Nothobranchius furzeri: one gene and its partners. The protein of the gene in region 3 purifies or fractionates together with the protein of the main gene of each other region. This does not show direct contact. Links are inferred from orthologs where the notes say so. Each region holds a gene or a part of one and is shown on either strand. Other genes may lie near its edges.

The links.
Region 1: the proteins of ago1 (region 3) and tnrc6c1 purify together in Homo sapiens (affinity purification with mass spectrometry; 5 studies listed by BioGRID and IntAct, with this or other methods). This does not show direct contact. The link is inferred for Nothobranchius furzeri from reciprocal best matches to the Homo sapiens genes AGO1 and TNRC6C.
Region 2: the proteins of ago1 (region 3) and trinucleotide repeat-containing gene 6A protein purify together in Homo sapiens (affinity purification with mass spectrometry; 10 studies listed by BioGRID and IntAct, with this or other methods). This does not show direct contact. The link is inferred for Nothobranchius furzeri from reciprocal best matches to the Homo sapiens genes AGO1 and TNRC6A.
Region 4: the proteins of ago1 (region 3) and tarbp2 purify together in Homo sapiens (co-immunoprecipitation; 4 studies listed by BioGRID and IntAct, with this or other methods). This does not show direct contact. The link is inferred for Nothobranchius furzeri from reciprocal best matches to the Homo sapiens genes AGO1 and TARBP2.

Annotation. Positions count from the first base shown.
Region 1 is NC_091752.1:53,965,234-53,972,630, forward strand, and holds part of tnrc6c1 (trinucleotide repeat-containing gene 6C protein), read right to left. Parts: intron 6,255-7,397; coding exon 6,060-6,254; intron 5,631-6,059; coding exon 5,452-5,630; intron 3,891-5,451; coding exon 3,813-3,890; intron 3,721-3,812; coding exon 3,502-3,720; intron 3,416-3,501; coding exon 3,269-3,415; intron 3,100-3,268; coding exon 2,980-3,099; intron 2,756-2,979; coding exon 2,672-2,755; intron 2,518-2,671; coding exon 2,277-2,517; intron 2,187-2,276; coding exon 2,022-2,186; intron 1,040-2,021; coding exon 863-1,039; intron 745-862; coding exon 595-744; intron 1-594. UniProt on the Homo sapiens protein: Plays a role in RNA-mediated gene silencing by micro-RNAs (miRNAs). Required for miRNA-dependent translational repression of complementary mRNAs by argonaute family proteins.
Region 2 is NC_091752.1:63,515,891-63,524,021, reverse strand, and holds the start of trinucleotide repeat-containing gene 6A protein, read right to left. Parts: upstream 5,246-8,131; 5' UTR 5,011-5,245; intron 1,618-5,010; 5' UTR 1,616-1,617; coding exon 1,570-1,615; intron 1-1,569.
Region 3 is NC_091745.1:69,200,945-69,208,786, reverse strand, and holds the start of ago1 (protein argonaute-1), read left to right. Parts: upstream 1-2,532; 5' UTR 2,533-2,662; coding exon 2,663-2,687; intron 2,688-7,842. Other genes in the region: dehydrodolichyl diphosphate synthase complex subunit DHDDS, read right to left, coding at 606-668.
Region 4 is NC_091743.1:62,017,867-62,025,973, forward strand, and holds tarbp2 (RISC-loading complex subunit tarbp2), read left to right. Parts: upstream 1-3,358; 5' UTR 3,359-3,501; coding exon 3,502-3,554; intron 3,555-4,337; coding exon 4,338-4,652; intron 4,653-4,813; coding exon 4,814-4,883; intron 4,884-4,993; coding exon 4,994-5,111; intron 5,112-5,227; coding exon 5,228-5,355; intron 5,356-5,518; coding exon 5,519-5,714; intron 5,715-5,808; coding exon 5,809-5,966; 3' UTR 5,967-6,184; downstream 6,185-8,107. Other genes in the region: tespa1 (protein ITPRID2), read right to left, coding at 7,287-7,378, 7,525-7,612. UniProt on the Homo sapiens protein: Required for formation of the RNA induced silencing complex (RISC). Component of the RISC loading complex (RLC), also known as the micro-RNA (miRNA) loading complex (miRLC), which is composed of DICER1, AGO2 and TARBP2.

The DNA of each region.
Region 1 (7,397 bases), on a different chromosome or scaffold from region 3:
AAGGGACTGCTTTGCTAACACCGCTGACCTTTCAAATGAAAATCATGCTCAGGAGTAGCGGCTTGGGGGGGGCAGGGTTAGAGCTCTGGACCACACGGTCACTGCAGGGTGAGGGGAGAGGGTTGTGGGTAAACCATGTACCTGCTTCGTCCATCTCCGGGGACGAGAGACTGAACGAGCTAGTGTAGGCACTGACCGGCCAATCAGCGGAAGGAGGCAGAGCCTCGTTCTGAGATGAAGTGGGGGAGGAGCCTGAGGCGACGCCAGCGACACCAACAGACAAACACAAATAAGGAAAAAGTAGCAAGAGAGGAAATGGAGCAAAGAAAAAAAAAGGCACTACAAATGATAAGATCACTGAGGTTCAAGTGGGTGAAAATGGAAATAGAAGCAGTTAAAGCAGGAAAATAAAGAAGAAAAGAAGCAGCAGCAGGATCCCGGATAGGTTTAAAACCTCTGATACTTTTTTAAAATAGGAAATTCAGTTTATTGATTTTTCAGGTATCTTTTAAACTCTTCAGCCGGATCTTCAAAGAGACATATTATTCAACATAAACGTATGAAACACAAGCAGCCACTGGCGGTTGGTCTGACCTCCACTCCTGTCCCGCAGCAGGTAGCGGTTGACATCCTGGATGTTGGTGTTGATGGTGGGTCCACTGGGGACGCTGCCTGGGGTCACGTTAGGGTCAGTCTCAGGGTCGATGTTCTGTAGCCCCTTCCAGGGAACGCCGGGACAAAACTCTGAAACAAGTTTTTGTTTACTTTCACTCACGACGATTTCAAACTCCGAAGGGAATAAAGTAAAAGTACGCATTCTGAAGTACCCACAAACATGATGTGACAGTAGACGTTTTCTAACCTGGTGGCCAGTTGATGTTGGTCCCATTTGCCATCTTGTCGCTGCTGTTCTTGCCCTGCCCCCAGCTTTCGGGGGGGACCAGCGGGCTTGTAGGAGACTCGGAGCTGGACATCAGGTTGTAGTGGTGGTACGAGTCGTCCATCTGGGGGGGCTTCCCAGGAGGCCCCAGGGGGGCACCTACCCAGACAAAACAAATGGCTTTACTTAAAGGTGAAACATGTAAAAATGAAGTGAGAATGACATCATGTGGTCAAATGAGGTAACTGCAGTCCATTTTCCTAAGCCATCATGGCTGACGTCAGTAACGAATCAGCACCGAAGATTCTAGATGACAAGCAACGACGAGTCAGTTGTAAGTAAGTTGATAAATGCATTACCATATTGGGTGCTAGTACCTTTGGGTGTTTTACGCTAGGGAGCACTTACTACAATTATTACGGTAATATTTCTCCAGCGCCGTCTTGCTGTTTGAGCTCTGAATGACTCATTAAAAGAAGTAAAACACCACAACCGAGTCATTATTCACTTCACACACACGTTTCAATGTAACAGAGTTTTTGGTAATCGAAAAAGTTGCTTGAGATATTTTTATAGCCGACTATTTGCTTCTAATTCATTGTTAGCTCAACGTTAGCTTCTAGCCTGAATCACCAGATATTAGCGTAAAACAAAAAGATGTCGTGGTTTCTTAGAAGTACAAGAAATAACTTCTCGGTTACTCCTGTTACCTGGCTTAGGATCTCTGGAGCTTTTTGCCGACCAGTGTCAAATTACAAATGCCAGCGCTGCAGTGTTGGCTCACCTGAGACATGGCAACCTCACAAACGCTTTGTAAACAGTAACCGCGTCCCTCTTTAGTTTTTGAAAGAGAGAAAAACTGACAACCCCCCAGCTGGCTAAGAGTCGCTGACTGAGACATTAAACTGTTTTGCGATTATTTCACTGTAAAATTTGTACGTAATGCTCCTTTAATTATAATAATTATACATTTAATAATGATTTGTAGGATACAAACATGATTTCCTGATCTACGTTTTGAAAGATTTCTGTTGATTCTTGATCTTCCAGGACTTTATGGAAACTGACGACTCACAGAATGAAACCGCTTTTACTGAAACATCAGGCTGCTTGATGAGCTGGATCTTGTGGTTTTCCTCACCGTGCTTTCCCAGATTGGGCTCAAGAGCAGAGGCGTGTCCAGACAGACTTTCGATGGAGTTCGGGTGTGTCCACTGAGACAGCCGCGACTGGGGCTGCGGGGGTTCTTTCAGAGGAAGACTTCCCACATCGATACAGTTTGGATTCAGGTTTGGATTCAGTCCAGCTGAGGAGAAAGAGAAAGACCGATGTTACAAATGATGCTCAGCAATCGGATCCCTCTCACCGTCACAGATCAACACTTCCTGCCACTCACAGAGAGCATAGGGGCTGTAGGTGTTGGGGGATGACTGCGGCTCTTTGGTCTGCAGGTCGGGGAGGCCTGGAGTCTGGGGGTGACCTGGAAATGAATCCAGGGTGGATTTGGCTCCACCAGGATGCAGGCCTGAGTGGGAGGGGGGCTGCTGCTGTTGCTGCTGTTTCAACAGCAGAGCCTGGGCCAGCTGTCGTTGGTGCTGCTGGATCTGCTGCTGCATGTTATTGATTGTACGTGCAACCTGAGAACGCATCAGAGGACCCGCAGTTAGGATCCAAAACATGCAACACGCCTTGAATATTTACAAATGTGAGCCAGTTCGTAAACCATCTAGAAGAGGAGAGAATAAAGTAGAACAGCTAAATAAACAAACAAGGATGAAGAGGGAAGCGTACTTGCTGCTCTTGCTGTCGAATGGGACCAGAAACATTGCGCTGTGCCTGCAACATCTGCTGTTGAATTTGTAAACGCTGGTACGCCTGTGAATTAAACATTAAAATATTTATTTGTTTCCATAAAAATCAACAGTAACCAAAAAAAAAATACAAAGAAAAGAAAAGGAAAACCATCTGTGGTTCAGTCTTTGAACAAATAAGAAAGAAGTTGGAGTCAATTATAAACCGCTCTAAGTGGGGTTTTATTTTGAAGTCTAAACGTTACGGGAACAGAAACTGATGGGTTCATTAAACGGCGAAGGACTCACCAGCTGCAGCTGGTAGAGTTGATTCAGGAGCGTCATATGTTGAGGGTTTATTGGTGAGGTTAAAAGTGCAGGATTCAGACCAATGTTTTTTGCTGCGAACTGTAAGAGCTGTGCTTGAACCTGTGGATGGACAAAAACAACATCTAAAGGTTGACTAGTTTTATGAAACTCTTCTTGAGATGTTTCAAATCAAACAAACGCATTTTCCTGCATTAATTCAGTTGCTTGACTACGAATCTGACCGTGGTTAAAACCAAGCGTGAGTGTTTGTAGGTGAGCGTGGCCGAACCTGAGGGGAGAGAAACTGAGGCACTTGAGCACGTAGACTAGGCTGAGAGGAGCTGAGAGGCGGCACTGGTGGCTGAGGAGGCGGCTGCGGCTGCTGCATGGCCCGGGCTTGTGCTGCTCCACCGCCGCCAAACATTCCACTCTGCATCTGCAGCACACAAGAGACCGCGTCAGCTGGAGAGCCCAAACCACCACAATTATTCAAACATTTTTTGAAGATGAGGAATGAGGTACCTTATCAATGAAGGGCAGACGAGGGTCTGCTGAAGGATCTTTGGAAAGAAGCGGAGGCCGAGGGCAGCTCATGGACTTGTTGATCAGCCCGTTGTGGTAGTCATGGCCGCCGAGCCCCATCCCACGCTTGTCCAGCTCCGTCTTCTTCTCCAGCAGGGTGCTCATGGCCTGATCCAAGTTCATGTTGTTGCTCTTCAGAGCCTCCTCTGCTGGATCCCTCTGGAAAAACAAAACACAGCAAGCAGAGTTCAATGGTGAGAGCTCTGCGTTACGCCTTCACGTTAGGATGAAGCATCGTCAGCATCACTCACAGGGAACCCCATATCTGTCAGCTGTTTGATGAGATGCTTCAAGATCCAGACATCTTCCTGCTTCCCTGGGACTTTCACCTGAGGGAGACGGCGGTTAGCGCGGCAACGCAGCAACACTTCACAGTGGAATTACAAAATCACGTAAAAACATGGATGGAGTATGTTCAGCAGGGTTGGGCATCGTTTCATTTTGAACGATTCCGATTCCTCGTTTCGATTCCGGTTCCTATCGATTCCCGATTCTGATTCTTTGAAGACATGACATGTTTTACATGAGCTAGCTAACCACAGGTCCTACTTGATGAAATAATCTTGACTTCAACATGAATTTTAATTCTATGAACAACAACATCACCTTCATTTAGACAAAAACATGTTTTGGAGGAAAAAAGAAAAAGACTTGCAGCACAACCAGTGTGTTTGTTTCTGACCACAACCAAAGTCTGGAAGAAGCCTCTGGGATGAGAGACTAAATGTCTCCAACATGTCCAGAAACATCCAGCTGTTTTCAGCTAAAACTCTCAGGATGATCATGTCCAGGATGACTGACAACTACACCTCCATGCTGCAGCAGCATTCAGTCAGAACAGAAAGTGAAACTTAAATGTAGCTGCAGTCAGTAACAATCTAACAGATTTTAAACATTAAGACTCTCAAATGAAATAGTTCAGAAAGGAAATAAAATTTTTTATTTATTATTATTATTATTATTATTATTATTGTGGCAGAAGCTGGTGTGGTCCACCCACAGAGAAGCTTCTCTAGCATGATGACTTTAATTATTCTACAGGTTATTGTTCAGCCTTCTGACGCTCACACACACACACACACACACACACACACACACACACACACACACACACACACACACACACACACACACACACACACACACACACACACACACACACACACACACAGAGTGTTGGTGAGCGGCTGCGTCTGACTGCTGACGCTCCGTGTGTGTTTTTATTTCTGCAGTGAGACAAACTCACCTCACACCGTCCAGTTTGTTCTTTAAAGCTTCTATTAAATCCACCGTGTTGACGTTTCCTCTACGCATTTTTCGCTGCAGAAGTTAAAGTTTATGTTACGGAGTAAAATTTCGGCAGACGCGTTATATCTGGTCGCTGCAAGGGGGGGGGAGGGGGGAGACACTCGCTGCTGCATACAGCTGGTGTGATCAGCTCTGAAAGGTGATGATCACAATTTGCAAATCACGTTTATTTTTCATGGACATCGGCTGCGGATTCCTCTTCCGTCGGCATTCTAGGAATCGAAAAAAGTACCGTTGAACGATTCCGGGAAAAACTAACAGTTGGAACAGGTTCCAATCGATGCTCGATGCCCAACCCTAAATTGTTCAGCAAGTTTCAAGTTGACTGAAACAACATTTAAAATAAGTCTGAGAATGTGATCTGCAGGTCCAGATATTTCATTGCTACCTGCATTTACACATTCAACAGTTTCCTCAGAACAAGAAAAAACACCCAGCAGTAAAAACGGGCCGATTCCCAACTCAACGTGCTACCAGTTTACTAGCAGCTAAGCAGCAATAGTTTAGGTTTTACAAGCTTTCCCAGAACTGACTAAAGGAGGATATTTGTCATCTCCTCATTCCACATGAACAGCTTTCTACCTTCTGCTGGACTTTTTTGGACGTGTTGCCCCAGGAGTTGCAGGAAGAGTTGCTCTCCTGGGATGCAGTGCTGTTCCACATGTCTCCCTCCTCAGTGTCCCACTGACCACCTGACAGGCTGAGCTCTTCCCCACCTCCTCCTCCTCCTCCTCCCCATCCATCTTGCATAGGTTTGGAGGCTGAAAAAACAAACAAAAAATAAAAAATAAAAATAAATGTTTACAAAACCTCAGAGAGAAATCAAAGTTGAGCATCAGTTTAAGTGAATGTATTTATGCTTTCCACAGAAGCTAACAAATAAACAAGTGTTTTACAGGCTAACATTTTATGTAATTTTTAAAGAAATAAATGTAATATAATGATAAAAGTATTGAGACAAATATATGCAACGAGGACAGAGTAAAACCAACATGCTGCACAGACATTAAATTAAACGCTGCAGCCACTAGGGGGCAGTGTGGACCTATGGCTAAAAAAATGGGGTTTTCTGTCACATTGTCCTTGATTTGACTCAGCAGGAGAAAAACACTGTTTGCTTCAGCGGCGGAGCTAGAGCATGCCATCAGTATTCACATGTTAACACCGTTGCAAACCCAGGATTTACTTACTGGGTTTACAGGAAGCAGTGGTCATTGTCTGGTTGCTCCTGCTGTAGCTGTCTGGGTTGCCGTCTCCCCAGCCTCCAGAGCTCCCGCTCGGTTTGCCCCAGGCAGACGTGCCATTATCCATGCTGCCTGGAGAGGGTGCAGGGTCGCCCCAAGAGCTTTCTGATTTAGTGTGGGAGCTGGGTAGCTCGCCCCAACCTGGAGGGCACGCAAGGACAGCAGTGTGAAAAACAAAAACGTCCCACGAGATCAGGACGAGTGTCTAGGAAACACGATAGGTTAACGGTATCCATGGTCTCTTTCCCCCCATATTTGGTTTTTCTAACCAGGTATAGCAAACTTAATGATAGAGGTCGACCGATCTATTGCCGATACTGATATGTAGGAGACACGGTAAGCTGATGGCAGATATGTACTGCCGATTTTCATGGCCGATATCCTTCTTATTTTCATGCTAAAATCTCACTAATAACAAAGTTTCTGAAGCTGGATCCGTTTTTTGAACTCTAAATTCAACCAATCGTTAAATCTTAACTTTTTGCACCGCTCAGTGTTAAAATCAGACAAATAGAATTAATTTAAAGTATTTATTGTGCAGATGTTTTTGTGAATTGAATTCTGTAACAGAACCGGGTTGCTCGAGGATGCGCCTGAATTTAAATCGGCTTTATTTAGGACTAATATTGGCCGATACCAATTTATATAAAAAATATAAATAATACGGTAAATATCGGCGGACCGATACATCACCCTACCCCTACCTAAGGGCTTTCAAGATTTTTAGAATTATGTCAAAATATTTATAGTAAAGGCCTTTTGGCTCATCCTGTTAAGATTAGTAATGTTCTATAATAATCACGTGTTGCAGCCGCTCTGATAAACTCTCCTCACATTTTAAAATGATCTTACTGCAGAATGCTAAATTACGTGACAAAACTGCATCATTACTATTATTTTTAACAGCAGCAGTAATAATATTATTCAGAAATTTTAAACAAAAACCAGAAAAAGAAGCATTTAGCAAATTACTTATGATGTTGCAAAACGATCTAAAATAACTAATTTCAATCCAGCTTGATTGGGAACTTTAGCAGTGAGGACAGCAAATTGGTTTTATTAAGTCAGTCCAGCTGATGCAGAAGTTTTAACCTTTTTATGAGACGTTCTCACACCAAGCGTCATAACTAATTATTGTGTGTATGATTTAAATACCATTCATTCACCTTGGCTTGATTTTTTTATTTCAAACTTATTTATAGGAGCTGAAGGTTAAATGCGACGAGGTTGAGAGTGAAGCACCAGCCATGCAGGGAGGTAGAAAAGTGGGCTTGGCTGAGCCAG
Region 2 (8,131 bases), on a different chromosome or scaffold from region 3:
TCTCAGACTGCAGGTCTACTGGTGGTTCCCAGAATATCTAAAATTAGGATGGGAGGCAGATCTTTTAGTTATCAGGCTCCTCTCCTGTGGAACCAACTCCCAGCCTTAGTCTGTGAGGCAGACACCTTGTCTACTTTAAAGACTAGGCTTAAAACATTTTTCTTGTATAGGGCTTATGGTTAAAATCTGATGTTAGCCTAGATCTGGACAAGTGGGAGAGTACAGGGAGGTGGAGTGTAGAGTCGGTAAAGACGGCTCTCCCTTGTCCTGCCTCCAACATGCCTCCATCTAAATAGGATAGATTATCCAGAGTTATCTCTGTAGTTATGCTGCTATAGGCTTAGACTGCTAGAGGACACACTGACCACTTTTCACACTCTACTACTTTCTTCTACAATCTGCTCTTTAACTGTATTATTTTCTGCAATTTCAGCTGTTAACTATTTTTTCTCTCTAAGTGTTTTTCTCCCCAGAAGAAGCTACAACGATGCTCTGCTGAGCTGTGGTGGCCTCATGGAGGGGACCATCGTCTAGCACACTGCTGCTAAACACTTAAACATTCTCCCTCTCCTGATAATAACTTTTTGCTTTCCTTGACGTTGGTGTGCTACTACTAGTTTACCCGTTTAACAATAGATTCACTAGGATAAATACAAGAAAGTTTATCTCTCGCCAAATAGAATATTTACTAAGCAATCACGGTGTAACCATGGACACATTGCTTGGTGTGTGTGTGTGTGTGTGTGTGTGTGTGTGTGTGTCTGTGTGTGTGTTCCGTCTTCTCGATCCCCAGTGAGTCGTGGAGGATGGCTGCTTATACTGAGCCAGGATCCTCTGGAGGTTTCTTCCTGTTAAAAGGGAGTTTTCCTCTCCACTGTCGCTGCATGCTTGCTTAGTATGAGGATTGCTGTATAGTCACTGACACTAGTCAGTGACTTGATGCAACTTGCTGGGTTCCTTATATAGGAAACATTTTTCCTGACTGGCTTAATGAACTGACCTGAATTGGAATGTTTATTATGTGAAGTGTCTTGAGATGACTCTTGTCGGGATTTGGCGCTATATAAATACAATTGAATTGAATTGACCAATCACAAGCTTGCGGTCTCTCACTTCTAACAGATGTTTAATATTTTGGGCATGTCTCAATCTGTAAGCCCGTTGGAGAGCCCTTGCGCCAACGTATAATGGCGTTGAATGTCTCAGGATCGACGCAGAAGTATAAATCACACTCAGGTGTTTGAGTGTATTAATAACTTATTTATTTATGAGCCACAGAACTAAAAGGACACAGGCCCATAATAATGGTGTTTTTAGCTTTGCCTTTGTTATTTTTCAGTCACTATCCACTACTTCATGCCTGCACCAGGTCTTCTTATGCACCCTTCAACACACACTTTTTCATGAATTCATTTCAGTCTCACTGACGAGAGGGGAGTACAACACACCACTGGACAAGGTCAAGTCCAGGTTGGATCTTTTCTATGCAGAAAGCAAAAGTAAAGCACTTTGACAGAGCAGTAAATGCAAAGGAGGAGTATTTTTTAAAAGAAGACAATATGTTGTCACCTGTTTGGTTAGGAGAGTGGCTGACGGAATCCCGAATGGGAGCCATGCCTGGAAAAAGAAAGCGGGAGACTGTCAAGGTTCGAAGGGAAGCAGAGATGGAAAACAATGTGAGAAGATGTTAGAAACAGCTGGAATAAATATACAGTAATAAAAAAGGTTTAAAGTCAGAAGAGTTTAGAAAAACAGCTTTAAAGGAAAGCAGGACTAGTATTTTCTGTTACTAAATCTCTAGTTATTTCTTAGATAATATAAGAATTTAAAGACTTCATTGATTGATAATTTCTGAGAATTATGTACCATACCATAGTTTGTAATAAATGACTGACACCCCAATAAAAATATTTTACGACACAAACATTTATTTTAGACTTCTGGTTACGAGTATAAACACAATAGCAGCCATCACAGAGAGATGCACTACTAACTCAAGCTAGGTCTATCAAAGTCAACTAACCGGGAGCCATTATCCTAGTTTATTTGTACATTAGAAAACCGAACTCTCAAATGAAGTTCGCTCCACTCCGAGGCAACATGCGCCCTTTTGTGTCGGTATTCTTCCGGTTAGCAACACCAAAACGGTAAATGGCCTGCATTTGTAAAGCACCTTCTTAGGGTTCTTTCTACCCCCCAGGCGCTTCACAACACAATCAGTCATCTACCCATTCACACGCTGGTGGTGATGAGCTACAATGTAGCCACAGCTGCCCTGAGGTTCAATAATAGACACAAGACTGCCAAACACTGGCGCCACCAGTCTCCGACCACCACCAGCAGAAAAGGTGGGTTTAACCCTCAGGCTTCATTAGGGACATTTTTGTCCATTTGGGCAGTTTTTTGCTTTTCTTTTGGATGCCATTTCACCATTGTTTGTGCATATGGTAGGCCTGAACGATTTTAGGAAAAGACTGAATTGCAATTTTTCTAGCAGAAATTGCGATTTCGGTTCAATTCACGATTTTCTGCAAACAAAGATCCAGCATTAGCCTGCCAAGCCACCCTGTAGATTAGGTGAAAAGATGGTCTAGATTCTAATCTAGTACAACAAATCATTCACATTAATATTTACTATTTATTTAATCATACAATAAAAACAGTTAGCCATTATATTCTCCCATTATCTTTTTTTTTTTTTACATTTTTTTATGTGTTTGTGAAGCAACTTGTGCTTGTAGTTTATATCTAGAGAGGAGCTTTACAAAACATGTTCTATCCAAAAATGCATGGAGGAAATCTGTAAGTAAACATAGATTTTAAATGTATTAAATAAAAAAATGCACACAGTTTTCCCTGCATTACCGCGGCAGGCTGGCTGCACGTTTTTCAAAGTCGTCTGATTTTCCTCACTAAAATGTCAACTCCGTGAGAGACACAAGCATTCTGACACCTTAGCTTGTTTGAGCTAACGTGTGCCATCAGAAACATTCAAACCATTTTTAAAAGATAAGTTGAGCTTTCAAGTCAACTAAAGTGCGCGGCTCCGCACTCGCGCTGATGAAGCATAAACCAAGCTTTAGAAATAAGCCTGAACCTGCTCCGATGTGGGAGGAGTCTCTCTCCCTTACCCCCTACGTCCTCTCTCTCTCTCTCTCTGTCCCAGGCTCACCTTCGGTCCCATTATTATAGGCTCTAGCAGCGCTGTGTGTGGGAACGTAAAACAGGAACAATAACCTGAACATGCAGCTCTGGCAGCTTTGGAGTTGGGCTCTGCTCTGGATGGCACACCCCACTCCCCTCCCCCGCGCTGGATTTTGCCGCCGACATAACACAGGGCGACAACCCCGGATGTAAAAAATAAAAAATAAAAAGTTACAAAACTGATCCGGGATCAGTCAAAACCTCCAAAACCATAGCGTTGACGGTCACATGAGCGTGCTGTTTGAAATCGGAATTTCGGTCCAAAAACGATAGATCGTTCAGCCGTACCATACGGTACAAATCTTTGTTGCAAAACACCTCCCTGGACAAATTTCGAAATTCAATTTGGAATTTTGAAAATAAACCAAGTGAACACTATGAAGAAAAAAACAAAAAACACCATACACTTGAGTCTAGCGGACAAAAACGTCCCATTGACTTCCATTCAAACCACAGTTTAGTATGTTTATGCACCTGGCTGGAGCTCCAGACACGTGCATAAACATACCAATTGTTTTTGCTTTCTACACTTTGAAGTTCAGTAAGAGAGTCAAACTGTGTTTTATCTACTTATCAGAGGTCAGGTTGACCTTTTGACTTCAATACAAACAACAGAAGATCTAAAGAAATGTGTAGACTTTCTCACCTGGGCCACGTATGGAGAAATAACTGAATTTGGTGAAGAACAGTAAAAATCACAAATTTCACTAGTGAAAAATGAAACACTAATATCACAGAAAGCATGATTACTTTTTCCAGATGTTACAGGATGAAAAACTGTGGTTTGAATGGAAGTCAATGGGACATTTTTGTCCGCCAAGATCAATCTGTTGCTACACAAAAACTACGGATGCAAATTTTTTTATTTTTCAGTTATTTCATAACATGACTAAGCCTGATTTATAATAAATGCCCCAGGAAGAAACAGTTGTTTTTGGGGGAAAATAAGTCATTTTTGTGTTTTTTCCTCCATAAATTCCAGAAATGACTGAGTAATCAAACTGGCATTTGAAGTGTTAAAAATGATGGAGGGCTGAAGTAGTTTAACAGAAGGATGAAAAAAAAGCAGAAGAAAAATATTATTGTATACATTTTTATAGCCATTTTTACCAGCGGACGTTTTGTCCTCTAAAGACTCAAGTGTATAGTAAAATAAAGTGAAGCCTGAGGCTTAAGCGTCTTGCCCAAGGACACAACAGCAGCATTGTCTGATGGGAGCCGGGATCTAACCTGCAACCTTCTGATTACCGGTCTACCTCCTGAGCGACTGCTGCCCAAATAGTAAACCAATGCTGGCGGGAGTGAGCCAGACAGAGTTAAAACAGGATATGAACGATGGCTGTGAAGCAATGGACAACGGCGCGGCAGCACAGCTGATACTGTACTGTTTGATGGTGTAACGCATGTTACTTTGTAACAATGGAATTATCAGAAGACTACTTCCACGGTCTCGTGGCATCAGCTCGACTGAGTCATTTACATGCAGATGAAGTTGAGTTTCTACCGCATTATGTGGGTGCTTTAGCCAGACTAATGCGTTTACATGCATAAAAAAAAACTACGTCCCTTTAAGGCAATAGTTTGGTTTTCTGACTATGAAGCAGTGGAGGGTCTGTGCAAGTAACTTTATTGCTTCATCTGATTTCATAAAAACTATGTAGTAGGTCCCTCAGACCTGAGGGTTAAACACCCGCTCACATCTGTAGCCGTTTAAATGCACAGCTGCCTTCAGTCCTTCATAAAGGAGGAGTCAGTTGGGAATGCAAATGCCTGCCCCCCCCCCACCCCCCCACCCCCACTGCTTACCTCTGAGTGCCACTGGTGGCTGCAGCTCCTGGCTGGACAGGAGGGTGTCCCCGGTTTCAGAAGAGAACAGGTGGCCTTTGGTTCCCAGCTCGGCACAGGGGAGGTCAAAGGTCAACACTTAGTGAGCACAGCTTCAAGGGTGTGAGGTGAGGAGGCGGGGCTTGTCAGAGCAGGAGACAGGCTGATTAGCCTCCCTTGGCATCGCTGAAGACTGGTGTTTGTGATTGTTTGTAAATAGGGACGGGGAAGGATGGAGGCGTGGTTATGATTAAGGACCGTCTTGATGTAGTATGCTTCGGCACTGCTGCACAAAAAAATAAAAAAATAAAGGAAAGGAAAGAAGCCATTATTAGTTTATTTTAATACTCTTTCTTTGTAATTTTAGATTCAAAACATCTGTAAAATAATTGTTCACAACGTTAGCCATCACATTCATCAGCTTCCGAAGCAATCCTGAAGTATTTCAAACAGCTGTCACAATCTTGTGCTTTAGAAACAATCCACATGCTCACAGAAAGACGTGATGGATAAAAAGGAGCTAAATGTTCATAAAACACTACGTGGTTTCTCAAAACAAAACATTTAGTTTTCTGACCTTTTTCAGCATAATAAAACAATTCCTACCAGAGTCAATGAATGCTAATAAATTATTATTCAACATGTTGACTACTCACTGGTTAAAGCAAAAGGTTAGATGGCAACTCGGCAAAACAACCGAGGGTAAATGGATCTCTAACTTGCTTTCGATTTCTGCAACAACCCAGACTAGAAACCTGACAAGAATGAGAAGGATGTAGCAGCTTGGTAATCAACATTGGTTTGTTCAATTGTGTGTGGGGAAAATGCCAACAACATTAGGAAAAAAAATCAGTTTAATCAAATTAAAATAAAATGGTTCTAGTATTTCATATTTCCTAGTTCCTAATGCATGAGTTCAGATGCATTAATTCATGCACTTAAACATTAATGTTCTGATTTTAGTGAAAAACTTGTTCTGTAATAGTTCCTTTGCTATTGTGATCAAAAACATTTCATCTCAATTCTGAGGCTGCTCTGTAAATATTTTTCTAATAAACAACACACATAGCAACTTCTGATCAATCTTTATCAGCTTCAGATTTAAAATAATGTATTGATGTAAACCACACCCACTAATTTCCAAATAATAAATAAGAGGTGCATTCATCTGTGTACAGGGTATATACAGCAATCCTTAAGTAAAATTTACTACTTTTTAATACTTTTTTTTACTACCTTCAGAATTTTTTTAAAACCATCACAACACTAAATTGCAAGTGTTAATCAGCGACCTATTTACACATATTTTAACATATATAACATACAAAAAGCATAGACTTAGAGACTCACTGATGTTGACAACGTATTGCGCATATTTATTTTACTTAGAAAATATGCCAGGCACTTCTTTTCAGCGGTTCAGACAGTTGACCACGGGGCCTGAAATGATGCAGAACGACCACTGAATATGACGTCATCATAATGTGACCGGATATGCTAAAGTAGGGTTGCTCAATTATGGCAAAAACAATAATCACGATTATTGTGACTGAAATTGAGATCTCGATTATTTAAGACGATTTTTCAATTTATGTAGATTTTTTTAATTTATTTTTATTCAGTCATAAAACTGCTCAGGGCACAATCAGGGCAAAAATAAACAAGAAACAAGATGATCACTAAAAGAACTCCTGATTCCCAGTATAAAAAGACCAATATACTTATAGCTCATAGTTTATGACCCAAGGGCAATAGACCTTGGTTTAACTCATTTAAGTCTAACCAGTGCAGACCCAAATACCAATATCTTGCAAATACTGACAGCAAGAATTATACAGTGGCATTTATAACAAATACATGCAAATAAATTGATGTTCACAAAATATTGCATAACATTTATTGAGTTGTGTCAAGGAGCTGTAGGAGAGTGCACTAGCACCGTGTCCTCAGAGAGATTAGTTATTATTTATTAGCGTGAGGAACTTATTTCTACCTTATTTATAAACTATTTATTAACAAGTCCATCAGTTAATGTAATAATTGTCCCAACCACAGCTGCACCCCCCACCCCCCAACCCGGTCTCACAGCAATCAGGGGCAAGCTGCACGTGTGTTTAGCGCGCCGCACACGCACACTTAGCCGTTTTTAGTGGCTCAGGAGTCCGCAGGTACGGTGTGTGTCACTCACTCTGGTTACTCCAACAGGGAGCCGGCTCTGAGCTGTTTCTTTAGCGACCGACACATCATTACATCATTCCCTTTCCTAATGTCCTGAAGAACGGTCCGGAGCGCAGGCGGAGTGTTTAGCTAACCTGCAGCAGGAAATGTCGACGATAGTTATCCAGAAAGTAGCTAAGGGTTACCAGAGATGTTTCTGAGGTGTTCGCCAGGTACTTTTAAGATTTAAAAAGTCAAGAAGGGGGTCTGAAAAGCTGTTGGAAATAGCATCAAAGTCGCTAAGTTGGCAACGGAGCGCTTCATTTGTAACTCAGGGCAGCTCAAGTGGGAGGAGCAAATAATCGGCTTGTTTTATTTTTATAATCGTTCAAAACATTTCATTCGGAATATATTTCTATGTCGATGTTCAGAATACGACACCTGATAGTCTGAAAAAAATAATACCTAACTTGGAAAAAATAATACCTCTGAGACCAAATTTAACACTTTTAATGGCCTTAAATTTGACTATTTTTATTTATCACTTTTTAATACTTTTTAAAACCCCGCGGACACCCTGGTGTATCTCCTTTGATCTGCATTAGTGATGTTTTCAGCACCAGAACAATGAAGCAAAGAAAGATTCCTGAGTTTGTTAGTAATTTTATTTATTAGGTGTATCGGACCTGTTCTATTTTTCTCTGAAATGAGATCAAATCAGTGCTTCTATGGGTTGTCTCCTCTCTGCACTAGAAAATTTTACTTTATAATGTTCATCTTGATTTTCTTAAATAAATTAAACCAAAGATATTGGTCAGTAATGCCAAATATGTAAATTTGTGTTTCAGTTGTTTTTATACTGGCTTAAAAATACTTCATTAAGTCTACTAAGCAGGGTAGGGCCAGCCCAGTAATGATCTTGGACCAAAATAAAGGGGGCAGAAAT
Region 3 (7,842 bases):
TATGCCACAAGTGTGTGCAACAGCCAAGCCAATAATATGCATGTATAACTATAATAAGATATGCAAATGAATGCTTCAGAGAGGAGTGTTATGTTTAAAAAGGCTAAAACTAGGTGTTATTTTATAAAATTATAACATTATCTTATCAGTTTTCTCCAGATCAATAGAAAGGCATCATTATTTGTGCAAAGCCACATCATGTTCCCACTCTACATTGATTTCATGCCAAGAATGGTTTAAGAGGTCACATGCTTTAGGATTTAAGTCAACTGCACAGCAGTAATACTTCAGAGAATAATAAACTATAAAGAAAATCTTCAATTTTAATTAATACGCTTAAAACGTACCCCAACAATGCCAGTAAGATCCATTATGCCAAACGAGAAGTTATTACAACTCGTTTTTGTTACTCCTGATTTATTTTCCCACACATAATAAAATACTACCTTACAAGTACTTTCCGGATCTCGGTGCTCCTTCTGAGGATTATACACAGTAATACCCGCAGAACAGGGTGGTGATGAGTAGAGTTTGAAGCTGATTGAAATGCTAACAACAGACACACAATAAGAGTCGTTTTAAAATGAACAGAAGCTTATTCTTACCTTTAGGATGTTGGCAGAAATCCTTTCAATCAGATTTAATTCACCTTCTTTTATCCACGACATTTTCCGGTTTCAAACGCTCTGAAATCCTGTAAATTAAACACAGTTTTAAGAAGTGAACCGTATATGATTCACCTTGAGCTGCAGAACTGGTTATTGCCGATTATTTCCATATCGTGTGCTGTATTAAATTTCATCGTGCAGCCAGTGATTGATTTCAACCAGAGAACTGGCTCCAACTGACCTGCTGTGAGGCTGAAAACCAGCACAAGTCTGTACTATATTTATCTAGAAAACACTCACCGTCGGTGGAAAACTGCGTCTTTCATTCAAACCCACGAAGAACGAGTCGTTCTGCCACGGCTACGACGATTTTCCTCACATTTCTTTACACCTTCCAACTCACAGCTCTTTCGATGACGACCACTTCCTGACTGGAGCGAAACAACGCATGCGCACGATGACGACTTCCTGTCAGCCGTTATTAGATTTATAAAACATGGGGATGGACGCGGAATTTGTACAAGATAAAATCAAAGAATGAAGATAAGAAGCATAACAAGTATAACGTTGGGTCTTAAACTAAATCAGAAATGGACTGAATGATAGTTTGAGAGTCATAGACCCTCCAAAATGTCCTGTTTTCACTTACAGGCACAGTAGAGCTTCATTTGCATTTATTAAAGGTCACCAGAATTGGCTAAAATTTGCATTGGCACCACTGGTGTCCTGAACTTTTTCAAAAATGAATGCAGCCTTGCTAGTTTAGTAGTTTTAGTTTTACAATCATTCTAATCTGTAGGAGTAGTTTTAGGTAAGAATTAATGTAGATCAGAAATTATTCCCTATACTACTTTCTTTACTCTATGTATAATCTTAGGTCAGTTAGATTAGCAGTCAATTAAATACTGTCCTGCTAATGTAGCATTCTTGCTGCTCATTCATTTTGCTGGGACCCATTGCCAGATTCTACACTGGTGCAGTCAGTGGGGTTTATGCTCTTCATGGTGCATGACAATTCCTGTCATGCCGTGCAACGTGGTAAACATTTGCACTTTTTCCTGTTAACTGACCCCCATGCACACCTGGCCTAGACACCTGTGGCCTCTAGGATATCATCCATTGCTGCCAGGTTGCATCTCAGACTCAGAGTCAAAGTTCCAGCAAAGTCCAGATCTGGAAAGAAATACTTCACACAATCTGTTGCCTTTTTAGGAATATTCCCAGACATGATCATGTATCAGGTATGTATAAAGGGACCGTACTGAAGTTTAATCAAAATATACAAGCTTGTTACATAACTTTTGCACCTTGATTTTTTAAAAATGTTTTTGAAATGTAGTTCCTTGAAGTATTGTTTTTGTTTTATTTTTCTCTAAAAAAGCAAACAGTACAAATATTTAGTATATATTAGACTACTTTTAGTATTTATTTATTATGATTTTTTAAATAAATGGTGCTGTTAAGATAATGCCAGCATTACACCAACAAACTAAATTAGTTCACGTTTCCACTAAACTTTGAGCCTTTTACTTTTTCGAATAGCTGCAGTGTAGTTCCGCTCTCCGCCGCTAGGGTGTGACAGTAACTTCATCAACAGTTCGTTTGCACTTTTTTAAATGGCGGTGAAGAAGTTTTAGATTTTTGGGGGGTGAGGGGCTGGCCTTTTTTGTTCCGCTGGAGAATCCTGCTTGAACCGTGGGCAGGAGCATCACACGGACGACAAATCACAGCACCGCGGACAATCGGCCAAATCACGGAGGAAGCCACGCTGCGCGGTTGGAGAAAAGCGGCTGGAATTAAGACGCTATCTCCCTCCAGCTCCACCGTTAGCAGCTCCGGGGTCAACGGGCAAATCAGCCGTTAGCCTCAAGTCCTCTCCGGGTCTGGGGGGGATCTGGTAAGGGGCAGGGGGCGGGGGTACACCGAGGAGGGTGAAGACTACAGGCCGAGAGGAGGGGGCTGGAAGTCTGAGACGCCTCCAGCCTGAAGGGGCCGGCGGTTTGGCCACAGCACCCCGGAGTAGCTAGCTTGTACAGCGCGGCTAAGTGAATGGGATGGAGCCGGGACCGTCTGGCGCTGGTAGGTGTATTTATTTATTTTTTATAGTAATTTCAAGTGATCACTGCAAACACCCGATTGCAGCTTCACATTTCAGTCGGAAAATCGGAGCGTCAGGGGGAAGTGGAGGAAGCCTTGTAGTCAGCCTCTTCCGTTGCACCGTTCGATGAAAAGGGGCTCTAGCTATCTACATGCCTAACAGTTTATATAAAACAATTATTTTCCTGGTTCATAACCACAGACGAGGCTTATTAGGGTGCTGACAATATCCTCGGCCATGTGCGGGGGCAGTGAGGTCGTGGGAATCTCTGTGAGGAGGGACGAGGTGAAGCCCGCCTTCAAGCCGCAGCAGCAGCTGGCTGCTCCCCGCATGCCCCACACAGCCTCCCTCTCACTGCTGGATCCTCAGCCAGTAGGACCAGCTTGTAACATCAACACGTCACATGCAGCATTAAAGACAGCCCCAGGCTGATCGTGTAAAATTGCACATCCAAGGTCAATAAAGTGTTATATCTGGGTTAGATTTGAGTTTTAGACGAAAAGGAGCAGAAGCCTCCCACTTTAAGTTTTGTTTTTTATCCTGCATGGATGCATTTGATGGCAGCTAAAGATCTATATTTAGATTTTTCTTATTGACATAAGAGTCGTGGAATCGAGCAAATCAGTTCAAAACTGTGTGTGTGCGCGTGTGTGTGTGTCAGGTCTGAAGTTCACCTTTTAGGGGTAAATATAAACAGTCTTAATCCTAATCTATGTAAAGTGTGATCTGAGCACTTTCTTTATAAAATAAACTAATTGCTTAATTTAACTGTCTGTTCATAACCTCAAAGCAGATTTATGATCACCTTAATGATAGACTTGATATTGAACATTAAAGTTAGGTGATGGGTCTATTTTCAGGGGATTTTCTTTGGGAAGGGGGAAGGGCCCATGGGGGCCCCCTCGTTTTAAACTGCTTTTGTGTTTAAAGTGCTACTATTCAATGCGTTTTTAAAAATCGATCCAACATGTTTGCTTCAGGGTCAACTGCCAAGACGCAAATAATCTGGTCAAAGAAGTGGTGGACCATTAGTTTTTCTTATTAGTTTACTTTATAAAACAAGCGAATTGTTTTTCCAGTACCCCAACGACCAATATTTATCCAATTATTTATTTTTGCACTTTAAAACACCTTAAGTTGGACAAACCACCCTTTACTTTCACCTCATTCCATTATGAGGTCAGATTAAGAAACATCTGTATGTTTTAGATTGTAGAATAAACTGAAAATAAAATATTTAAGTGGAAATCTTTACCAGCTGTCTGAAAACAAATGAAACTAAACTCAATCTAAACCCGTTTTTAAGCAGTTTTTCTTGGAATTGGGTTTAAAGACATGTAGTAGTGAGAGATTTCAAGTTGTGATGCTCCAGTTTTAATTCTTACCGCCTGGGAGAGAACTCCATTGTGTTGGGATATGTGAGAGCGCTGGCTCCACTTCTCACCATCTGCCTTCACTGGCACGAGGGAGAAGCGTGCGTCTTTGTGCGCGAGTGTGCAACAATCACAACACACTGGCGTGTTCGCACTCATGCATCCTCTAGTGTACAGTCGCCACATGTCTTGTATCTGTGTTTATGGACTTTATCAGATGTGTGATTCTACATACAGACTAAAACACGCAGCAGAGCATCTTTTTTTATTAGGTTTCTGACCGTTACTCTTCCTGGAGGTTTAACAGATGTTGAGTTGAGTGGTGTGAGATTACATCACCAACTGTTTGAAACAAAACTTTACCAGTTTAGGACTCTCTTAAGTGGCTCTTCCTTCTGGTTTGTGATCGCGCTCAGTGCGGGGCCACACAGGCCAAGGTCTCTCCAGCATGACCACAGTGGCACCCTGCCTCCTCCCATCTACAGCGGCCATGCACCTTCACACCGCTTCACACACACTCGCACAGATCCCCTTATATCCATGACAATACTGTGTTGCCGTGGTGTCTCCATGGTGAGGCTGGGAATGTAGAGGGAGGGGGGGCTCTGGCGTTTGTGTGTATGAGTGCGTTCATCGTAGCAAGGGCACTCCCTCTGTCGTACAGCCGTGTGTTTCTGTGTGTGAGACGGAGGAGCGGGGCAGCTGGGGTCTTTGTTGTGATGGAGGAGGGCTGCTCTCTGGGGACCCCAAGGTTAAGGCAGTGGGCCCCTCTCAGGCAGGAGTCACAGCTAGGCTCACATCCACATCTAGCACCCTGTCTAGGACCCCCCCCCCCCCTTTCATTTTTTGTATCAGACACTCTTTCAAACAAACATTTAGTGTTATTTTTATTATTAAAATGATCGTGTGCACTGAAACTCCCTCTTCAGTTGGATTGCAGGTTCATGTGTACACCTTCTTGGACTTTACCGTGTGTCCATGTCAAAGATCACCTCACTCACACAGTGTCTGTTACATGTAAGCCAGGTTTATTTTTTGAAAGCCTAAACCTCCATAGACACCTGCTGATTCTACTTCATAACAGCCACGTTAGCATCATACAGCAGGCTTTAAAATTTTAACCATATCAGGCTTTTCGTTTCTTCAGCTTGACCCAACACTGTTCCAACATCAATTCGAGTCCTTCGGGCTACCATCTGCTGAGACACTTCTTTAAAAACGTGTCCTGAAGGCGGCTGTTGCCGACGATGGTGAGGAATGTTTGGACCTCTGAAGCTGACCAAACCTTGCTGCTAGATGCTGACGTTTTCTCACGTCCGTTTACAACTAATGATAATACAAACAACGTACCTCCAGGGTTTGTTTTGATTCTTGTGAATCATCATCATCATCAAGGCTCCTGCGAAGGGTCGGGTATCGTTTGATTTTGAACGATTCCGATTCTGATTCCAATTCCTCGTTTCGATTCCGGTTCCTGTCGATTCCCGATTCAGATTCTTTCAAGACATGACATGTTTTACATGAGCTAGCTAACCACAGGTCCTGCTTGATGAAATAATCTTAACTTCAACATGAATTTTACTTCTATGAACAATAACATCACCTTCATTTAGAAAAAAACATGTTTTGGAGAAAAAAAGAAAAAGTGTGTTTGTTTCTGACCACAACCAGTCTGGAAGAAGCCTCTAAGATGAGAGGCTAAATGTCTCCGACATATCCAGAAACGTCAGCTGTTTTCAGCTAAAACTCTCAGGATGATCATGTCCAGGATGACTGAGAACTACTCCTCCATGCTGCAGCAGCATTCAGTCAGAACAGAAAGTGAAGCTGCTGTCAGTAACATGCTGTCAAATAAACAGATTTTAAACATTAAAACTCTCAGCAGAAATGGTTCAAAAAGGAAATTAAAAAGTTCACAACTTTGTGTGTGATTTATTATTATTATTATTATTATTATTATTATTATTATTATTATTATTATTATTATTTATTATTATCCCTTTTGGCTCCCAGTGGCAGAAGCTGGTGTGGTCCAGCACAGAGAAAGCTGCTCTTGCAGGATGACTTTAATTATTCTACAGGTTATTGTTCAGCCTGCTGACACACACACACGCACACACGCACGCACACACACACACACACACACACACACACACACACACACACACACACACACACACACACACACACACACACACACACACGAGTGTTGGTGAGTGGCTGCGTCTGACTGCTGAAGCTCTGTGTGTGTTTTTATTTCTGCAGTGAGACAAACTCACCTCACACTGTCCAGAGTTTGTTCTTTAAAGCTTCTGTTAAATCCACCGTGTTGATGTCTTTTAACAAGTTTCCTCTACAGGAATTAAAGTTTACATTACGGAGTAAAAGTTCGGCAGACGCGAATCAAAATAAAAAACTTTGAACAATTCCGGGAAAAACTTGGTCCCGGTTCCAATCGATGCTCGATGCCCAACCTATCCCTGCCTGACACTCAGGCTTTTCAATTTGTTTAGTCATGTGACAGTAATTGTAATCATCTCAGAAGCATAAATGTGTGTACTTAATAATGTAAATTCAGCTTTAATAATTTTCATTCTATACAAAATCTGCTGATTTTAGAAGCATTAATATCAGTATATCGGTATCAGCAAATATCGGTTTTCGGCCATAACAGTGATATAGATATCGGATATTGGTATCGGCTTAAAATTTTTATATCAGTGCATCACTGATTTCAGTGCTTGGAAAAACAAGTAGATACCAATCAATCCTGTCAGAGAGAGATGTCATTTATTCTGCTGTTGGAAATCAACCCAAAACATACAACCATTGTCTTTACTTCGTATAACGAACAACCAGAAATCCTGAAAAGGATTTTTGAGGTCCGTAGTATTTGTTCCAGTCTACATCCACATAGCTGTTAGTTTGTCTAAATATCTTGTAGAACTATCTGCTAAGTTCCTACAAAAACTTTTTACGAATGTACCTAGAAGAACTTTCCTTTATCCTCACGTTTATGAAATGTTATTATTTTACGATATTATTTTTCTGATGTTTACCTATTTCTGTTTTGAGATCATTATGATTTTATGACTTTGTTTTAGGGCTGGGCAATGAATCGAACATTTATCGTTATCGAAATTTTTTACTCTTGTCGTGATAAATTTTCCCATGTTAATAAATTTGATAATAAAAAAAGGAAAAGATGTGTGTAGGTTCACTAGGTTGGCAACATTCATGTCCCTTTAAGAAGCTGTACCACCGTGAGTCACGAAAAAATGTGACTCAACATAATACGTGTGACAGCCCCATCATGTGGACAACTTTTGCTTCTGCGCATACCTGTAGTTATCGTCCACTTATCGTTATCGAGGTAAAATCCTCAATATATCCTGATATTAATTTTAGGTCATACCGCTCAATCCTAGGGGTGGGCGATATAGCCTAAAATCTATATTGCGATATAATTTGAAAAATGTGCTGTAACGGTATAACTTTGCTATATATGACTTTCTTTTGTATATATGTCAAAAACGACTGTTTCTAAACATACTCACATACCAGATACATTGCAGCTGCAGAATAAACACACTTCAAACAGTATAAAATGCCATTTTAAGAAAATTTATTGTGCAAAAATCAAAAAGCTTTACGAGTAATATTTAAGATATGTAACAGATCTTTTTCCTTTAGCAAATGCTTGTAAAATATCCGTCTGCTGGTGTGTAAGACCACCTTTTTTCTTACCGCTCGACTGACCGGG
Region 4 (8,107 bases), on a different chromosome or scaffold from region 3:
GTAACACGCCCTAAGGTGGTAGAGAACAAGAGAGCTGAGCTCCTGTGGAACTTCCAGGTCCAGATGAACAAAATGGTGATGGAGAACCAACTGGACATTGTGGTGATGGACAAACAGTAGAACAGCCGTTGTGGCCGATGTGGCGATACCAAGTGATGGTAACATCACGAAAAAATAACACGAGAAACTAGTGAAGTACCAGGGCCTCAAAGAAGAACTTTAGAAAGCTTGGAGAGTGAGGACATTGGCATATATATAATATATGTTCAAAATTTTCATGGTTTTAAATGTGCATTATGTAGAAATTAAGTAAAAATGAAGTTCTGAGGTAAAACTTGGTTACTGCAACCACTTTGAACCACTCTGGAAGTTTTTGCCAGCCGTCGTCTAATTGCAATCGTCGGTGTTGCTGTATTAGCTCACAGGAGACATGGCAACCCCTGTTGGTAAACAGCATATGTCCGTCCTTCCTTTGTTTTGAAAGGAGAAAAAGTGACAATCCCTGCAGCCAGCTGGATATGAAATATGTTTCAGTAGAACCTCGCTTCCAAATTGACTGAAGCATTAGACTCTTTTGGGATTTTCTCACTGTAAAATTTTCACTATTTTCTTACATACTGCACCTTTAAACAAGATAAATGCACAAATACAAGTGTGCCACAGAAAAAGAAAATGATAACACTTGTCAAACTCACTAATTTTCATAGCTGCAAATGTGTCTGCCCTCTTGTGGACCGATGGGAGACAGCTCAAAAAGGACTGCAGTTTAGATTTTTAGTCCTTACTCAACATTTAAAATTGCAATTTTAGATCAAATTTAACAAATGAAGATCAAAAAGAAAATTTGCTTTGTGTAATATATGGCAGACAAGTCTGGCAGCCTCAGCCATCATTCATTCACAGGTCCGAGTGTACTAGTACACGGGCTGAAAATGGAGACATGGTGTTGATGAATGTGGGGGAGCTGAGAGCACCTCTGTGTCTGCTGTGTCCTCCTACTCAGTGAGCAACATGGAGGCAGAGCGTTTATTCTATTCTGGTCCCTGAAAAGGGATTTTTTTCAATAGCTCCTAGGTAAATTAGTCAAAATAACCAAAATCATTTCTCAATTGTGTTACTAAGCCACACCAATGAGACACAGCAGTTTATGACACCTTTCATTTAATTTGATTTTTTATTAGGATTTTTATCCAAAATTAAGGGATTTTTTTTCAATAGATCCTAGCTAAATAATCAACACACCCAAACCCATTTCCTAATTGTGTTACTAAGCCACACCAATGAGACACAGCCGTTTATAAACACTTTCATACAATCTCATCTTTTTTATTAGGATTTTTATCCATAATTAAGGGATTTTTTCAATAGCTCCTAGGTAAATGAGTCAAAATAACCAAAATCATTTCTCAATTGTGTTACTAAGCCACACCAATGAGACACGGCAATTTTTAACAACTTTCATACAATTTGATTTTTTTATTAGGATTTTTATCCAAAATTAAGGGATTTCTTTTTTCAATAGATCCTAGCTAAATAGTCAACACACCCAAACCCATTTCGTAATTGTGTTACTAAGCCACACCAATGAGACACAGCCATTTATAAACACTTTCATACAATCTCATCTTTTTTATTAGGATTTTTATCCATAATTAAGGGATTTTTCCAGTAGCTAGGTAAATTTGTCAAAATACCCAAAACAATTTCTCAGTGTTGTTACTAAGCTAGATCAATGAGACACAGCAGTTGTTAACACCTTTCATGCGATCTGATCATTTTATTAGGATTTTTATAAAAAAAATTAAGGTTTTTTTCAATAGCTCCTAGGTAAATTAGTCAAAATAACCTAAATCATTTCCCAATTGTGTTACTAAACCACACCAATGAGACACAGCAGTTTATTTATTGTAGAATACATTTAGACCACATACATTACTATAATGTATTATAGCAATTAGGGATGAGCATTTTTGACGAATACGAGCATGAAACGAGTAAAACACGTAAATATCCGTAATCGTGCTGAAGGAAAATCCTCATTGGGTAACTGACTGTCTTCACGCTCTGTGATTGGCCAGTCACATAGAGCGCCCGCCCCTCCCTACACAGAAAACTGCAGCCGGCCGGGAGCGCAGTCCGTCCGGCTCATCCGCGCACACACACAGACAGTAACGGATCTCGCTGTGATTGCTTCAATGTTGCTCACGTTTCTTCAGTAATCCCTAGGTTTTCTTCAGCTCGCCTCTTTTTCGGTTGAATATTTAAAGTTACTTTTTTCGTAACTTACTTGGTGCATTTGATAAGACAGAGCTGACGTGCTGTGTTAGTCACTACCTCCGCTCCCAGGGTCAGATTAACACTTAGTTGTACCCTGGGCAACAATATTAAAGGTCCCCATCATCACGACCCAAGGATCACCATAATATGGTCACATACAGAATATTTTACTGTAATATGCAGTAAATATACTCAATACTTGAATGCCTGACATCATGTAACCCGCTCAGGGTAACCTTTGACCCACCTCGTGTGGAATGACCAATGAGGAGAGGGTCTAAACTTGAGGCCCTCTCTTCATTGGTCAGTCTGAATGAGACTGACTCTCAACTGGCGTTCAAAGTCATAGGCAGCGAAGCATCTCTGTGCAGCGCAAAAGCCCGGGTGGACAGTTTGTTTAATGTAGGGTGATCATATTTCCATTTCCAAACAAGAGGACAGGGGATCTGTGCCTATGACGTCACACTATGGCAACGCCACACAAACCACGTTGGGACCCATTTTTTTGTAAGAACTAAATTAATATCAGATTCTGCCAATAAAACGGCTCTAAAACAATTCATATGTAAATATTTAGCATATTTCTTGCAAAATCTCATTTTTCTGCTTTAGTGCTGCAACAAGGTTTTATTAATAAGAAATCATTATACCTTTTGTATAACCTAACCTAAACATGCACTCAAATATTTCATACAAAATATCTGACCTCTTATCAGCTGACATTTCTTTAATTGATAACAATGCTGACATGGAGTCTGAGCAAATAATACTTTTCCTAACACCATTTTGTTCTATCCACTGTAAACTAAATGAAATGGCTAACATTTCCACTGTATAAACTGACAGATTATTAGATGTTCGACTTTTATAATATATACTTAATGTCGGAATCCAGAAAGAAAATCCCGTTATATTTCCTGACACTTTCGACCCATCAGTATATTTAGGGATGAATGCTTGATGAGTGTCATTCCCACCTTCTGAGGCACAGAAGGCATTTGGGCCAATCGGGGCTTACGCTGCCCAGGACGCAATCTACGTCATAATCGTGTGACCGAGGTTGTCGCTGTAGAGGTGGTTTCGTCTTCTGGTATCCATCATGTTGCAGCTTTAGCTCATCGTTTTGGGACAACAATAAATACCGTCTAATGAGAGTACGTGTCTGTTGTGGCGGGGGGGATTTTACATCCGAAACCGAGCGGTTCTGTCTGCGCGAAACGGGGAATGAACGACGAGACAGCTTCGGATAGCTGGAAGAGAAACTCCGGGGACTCCAGGTGGGATTGTCTTCTTGATAAAAGCCATTTGTATGTAAACAATATAAAATGTCAGAGTCAAAGGCCTCAGAAACTAACGCGTGCATGTTGTTTTAAGTGTTTAATCTTCTGTTATTCTTTTAATCTCTACAGCTTAACTGTTTGACTCATCGTTAATACTCTTTATCTGGTGGCTTTTTACTGCTAGGTTGATTTTTGAGGGATTATTGTAATCTGGAAGGCAACAGGTGGTCAAAAACACTAATATAATGTTTTCCTAAATGTAAAGATCGGCATAAATTACACAAATCTCTTTATTCCATTTGTAATATATGTAATAAAATAAGCTGATTGCAAACATTTCTGGTTCAAATCTTCATTCCAGATGGCTGTAGCTGCCGCCTCACAAATAAATCATTGAATAAAAGTGCCTTCTTTTACTCTGATAATGTAAATAATAGAGTTTTATTGGTTTGTGCCCATTTCCTTTGTACACTGTGAAGAATCTCACCTCAAAACACCACACTTATTATTTGGGTCAGTATTCATTTGGCAAATAATAGTATTTTTTTTCTTGGAAACATATTTCACAGATTGAGCCTTAAAGATGGCACACTTTTCCTATTTCTTGTTGCATTTCGTGAAACTAAAATATAGACAAGTGTAGTTTTTCCACTGAACATTGTAGCGTATGCCCTTTAGATTTTAGCAGCAATAAACTAGCCACATTGTTGTGTTTTGATCTCAGTAAAGATGATAACAAAATAAGTGAACAGCTGCTTATGCTTTCTATCTTTTAAATAGTATTGAGCAAATGCTGGCTGTGAATCCTGGAAAGACGCCCATCAGTCTGCTGCAGGAGTATGGAACGCGGATAGGCAAAACCCCAGTGTACGACCTGCTGAAGGCGGAGGGACAGGCCCACCAGCCCAACTTCACATTCCGCGTCTCCGTCGGAGAGATCAGCTGCACCGGCCAAGGGCCCAGCAAGAAGGCAGCTAAGCACAAAGCAGCTGAGGCTGCTCTGAAGATGCTCAAAGGAAGCCTCGGAGATCCAGCTGGAGTCGCTGTCGGAGAAGACGTGTTTATCGAGGTTGATGTGTCTATTGACGGAGACTGGTCAGGACCCTACTTCATTTTAAAATGTAGAAAAGAACCTAGCGATGCTTAAGTGATGCTTAATGGCTTGTCTTGATTGGATCCAGACGATGTTTCAACATTGAGTTGATGGAAGAGAGAGATTTGTGTGGATTTAGTCTGTCCTCTCATGTTTTATGCAGCTCTCAGTCAGAGATGAAGACTTCCAGCAGTTCTCAACAGTCGGAATGTAACCCCGTTGGGGCGCTGCAGGTAACTACGCCATAGAGACTTTATTTTATCCTGGTAATCCACAACACTGGTTTCTGTTAGAATATTTCTATAGTTTCCTTCCTTTTTTTTTCTGTTTTGATTTACTTCAGGAGTTGGTGGTGCAGAAAGGATGGCGTTTGCCAGAGTACACGGTCACTCAGGAGTCGGGTCCAGCACATCGAAAAGAGTTTACCATGACCTGCAGAGTGGAGAGATTTGTAGAAATTGGTAAATCTTCTCTCATTCTTGTTTGATATCTGCATGTTGTGCTTTCACGCTCAATTGGATTTGTCAAAATCTGCTTTTATGCCAAGTGAAGGAGTGATTTCCTTTTTCCTGTCCAGGAAGTGGCACATCTAAGAAGTTAGCCAAGAGGAATGCAGCCGCTAAGATGCTCTCACGGATCCACGACGTTCCAGTGGACCTGAGGAGCAGCAACGAGGCAGATGCAGAAGAAGATACCTTCAATTTGGTGAGAGCTAAACACCACAGCAGTGATTTATATGCTTGCGCTTAAATTTCTTGTGCAATTCTCAAAATATCACAAACTGTGCCCATGTTATGGTGATGAAGCTTCTCTGCTTGGCTCTACTGTGTCTGTGTAAAACGTGTATAAAATCATCCCATTTACGCAGCACATGGGCAGCAGAGCGGAGTCGGGTAAAAGCAAAAGTTTCAGCTGCACCTGGGATTCTCTGCGTAACTCTGCTGGAGAGAAGATCCTGCAGCTCCGCAGCCACCCTCTGGGAATGCCAGCTGGCTCCAACTTCTGCTCGTTGCTGAGCGACCTGTCCGTGGAGCAGCGCTTTGATGTCAGTTACCTCGACCTCGGTGAGCTCACGCTCAACAGCACAACAGGAGCACCGTAAAGCGGTTAGAAACTCCTCGTTTTTTTTCTTCACATCCATGCTTGTTTGTTTTTCAGAGGAGCGCAGCCTCAGCGGCCGCTGTCAGTGTCTGGTGGAGCTGTCCACACAACCCATCACTGTGTGTCATGGCTTTGCTCCGAACGTAGAAGCTGCTCGAGCCCACGCGGCTCACAATGCACTGCAGTACCTTAAAATCATGGCAGGAGGAAAATGAGACACCTGGGCGCGTTTTTTGTCCGCAGACCCGAACTCGCCACCACGCGATGCCAATGTACACCTCCTTGTTGTACAGTAGAGGCTTTTTGACCTCAGATTGGTTAAGAGACATTTTTATCCTGCCTTGAAGCTAAACACAAGTTTATCTCTAGTTCATTTGTTGTCCAGCTGGTGAAAATCTCACAGCCTAAAACTCAAACCCACTCCCTTGATATTTTGTGTACTTGTGACAGATTGTTTTAGGAAAAAAAATTGTTTTTAGCCCATTTATCCTTCATATAATTAGCTGTTTTCTTACATATGAAGTTTAAAATATATACATGACGTCATAAATGATGCACTTTTGAGTCATATGTCACAAATGATGTTAGTTGAAATTAATAATTTTAAGTATGTTTTAAAATAATCAGCTTGTCTGATTTGAGTTCAAATTAATGGAGAAATTTGACTTTGTCGTTTTTTTCCTCAAATCTTTGTGTTTTATTTTACAACAAAATCAACGTCGGAGCGAATATCCATGAATGAACCATCTTTGACAAATTCTAGTAACTTTTTTTGAGTTTTGTAAAGGTCTTTTCTGTTTTGAAGTACTTGTCATGAAATAAAATATGATCCTTTTTTTAAAATACATTTAGAATACCAAACCCTGATAAGCTTTGTGATCTCAGACCAGGTGAATAAAGCTGTTAGACTCGTGCTGAGTATAATTACCTCAAGACGTTTGTGTTTGTGACGCCTAGAATTTAACCCAGTGTTTGACTTTTATTTTGATAGTTTAAATTTTAGTTTCAGTGTGATGATGTCACCAAATCTACACGTTTAGCCCCAAATTAATAAGAAAATGTCTTGTTATTTGGATCAATTAGTTATTTTAGACTGTGCAGTGATGTTTTCACCCTGTAAATGACAGAGTGAACACTTTTCAGTAAGGAACCAAAAATATTCTTAAAGTACAACCACCTCTGATTATTGTAAAGGAGGAAGTTAAACAATGTTTTTTAACTTTGGGTGCTACATTTTTTGTGCTGCAGTTTTAAATCCTGTAACAAAAATGTAAATGAAATATGAACTCCTAACTTGCCATTTTTAACAAAATATTGTAATTTTACTGTTGTTTTCACCTGATTAAAGAACCATTCCACTCAAGTACTCCATCCACTTCCTGTTGTGTTGAACTCTTTATGATTTACAACATTTTACATGTATGCAGATTATTTTTCCCCACTAGTTTGAAACTAAGTTTTCTAAACCATCAAATCTTCAGGGCAGGAATAAGTTGACAGAAACTTCTGCAATTCTTTGTCTTTTTGCTTTTCCATCATCTGTTGTGTCTTTCTGTTAAAGAGCAGACTTCTTCATCCGCGTAGCCACTGCTGTCAGACTGCACGCTGTCACCCCGGACCACCTCACCTACACAAACATACATGCAGATGGTTTAACTTCACGTGTTACAAACAAAAACTGGCTTTGCAGCTGCAGTTTGACCTGAATTAGCACAGAAAGGCACCATTTCCCCTCTGAAGAGCAATCCTGCTCAGTGAATCTCTCTCTCTCACCTTTGTGTGAATCTTTTTTGAATGACGGTGAGCTGGCTGTGCTTATAGCTTCTAATTGTCCAACATCATCTTCTCCTGCACTGTGAACCTTAAGAAACAGAATAAAGTTAAGTTTACAAACTGTTATAAAAGGTAATATAGTACATGATATGTACTAAACTTATTTACTGCTTATTAACTGATAAAAGAGCTTTATTTGTTGATTTTCTATTTAGTTGTCATGGTTTTATTTGTTTAATTTTTGTGTTTCATTCAAAGCTGTGACTGCATGGTAGCACGGTTGCCTCATATCAAGAAGGCTGCAGTTTTGAATCCTACTTGTATGGAGTTAAATGTTAAATGTCTGTATTTCTATAGCGCCATCTAGGTTTCTACAACCCCAATGGCACTTCACAACACAGTCAGTCATTCACATACACAATCACACCCTGCTGATGATGAGCCACAGCTGCCCTGTCAGAGGAGAGGCTGCTGAACACCACAAGCAGGCAACATGGGTCAAGGAGCCCAAGGACAACAACTGCAGCAGAGTGAGCGGGACGCGATCCCACAACCCTCTGGTTGTGCGAGTGTTGGGAAAATG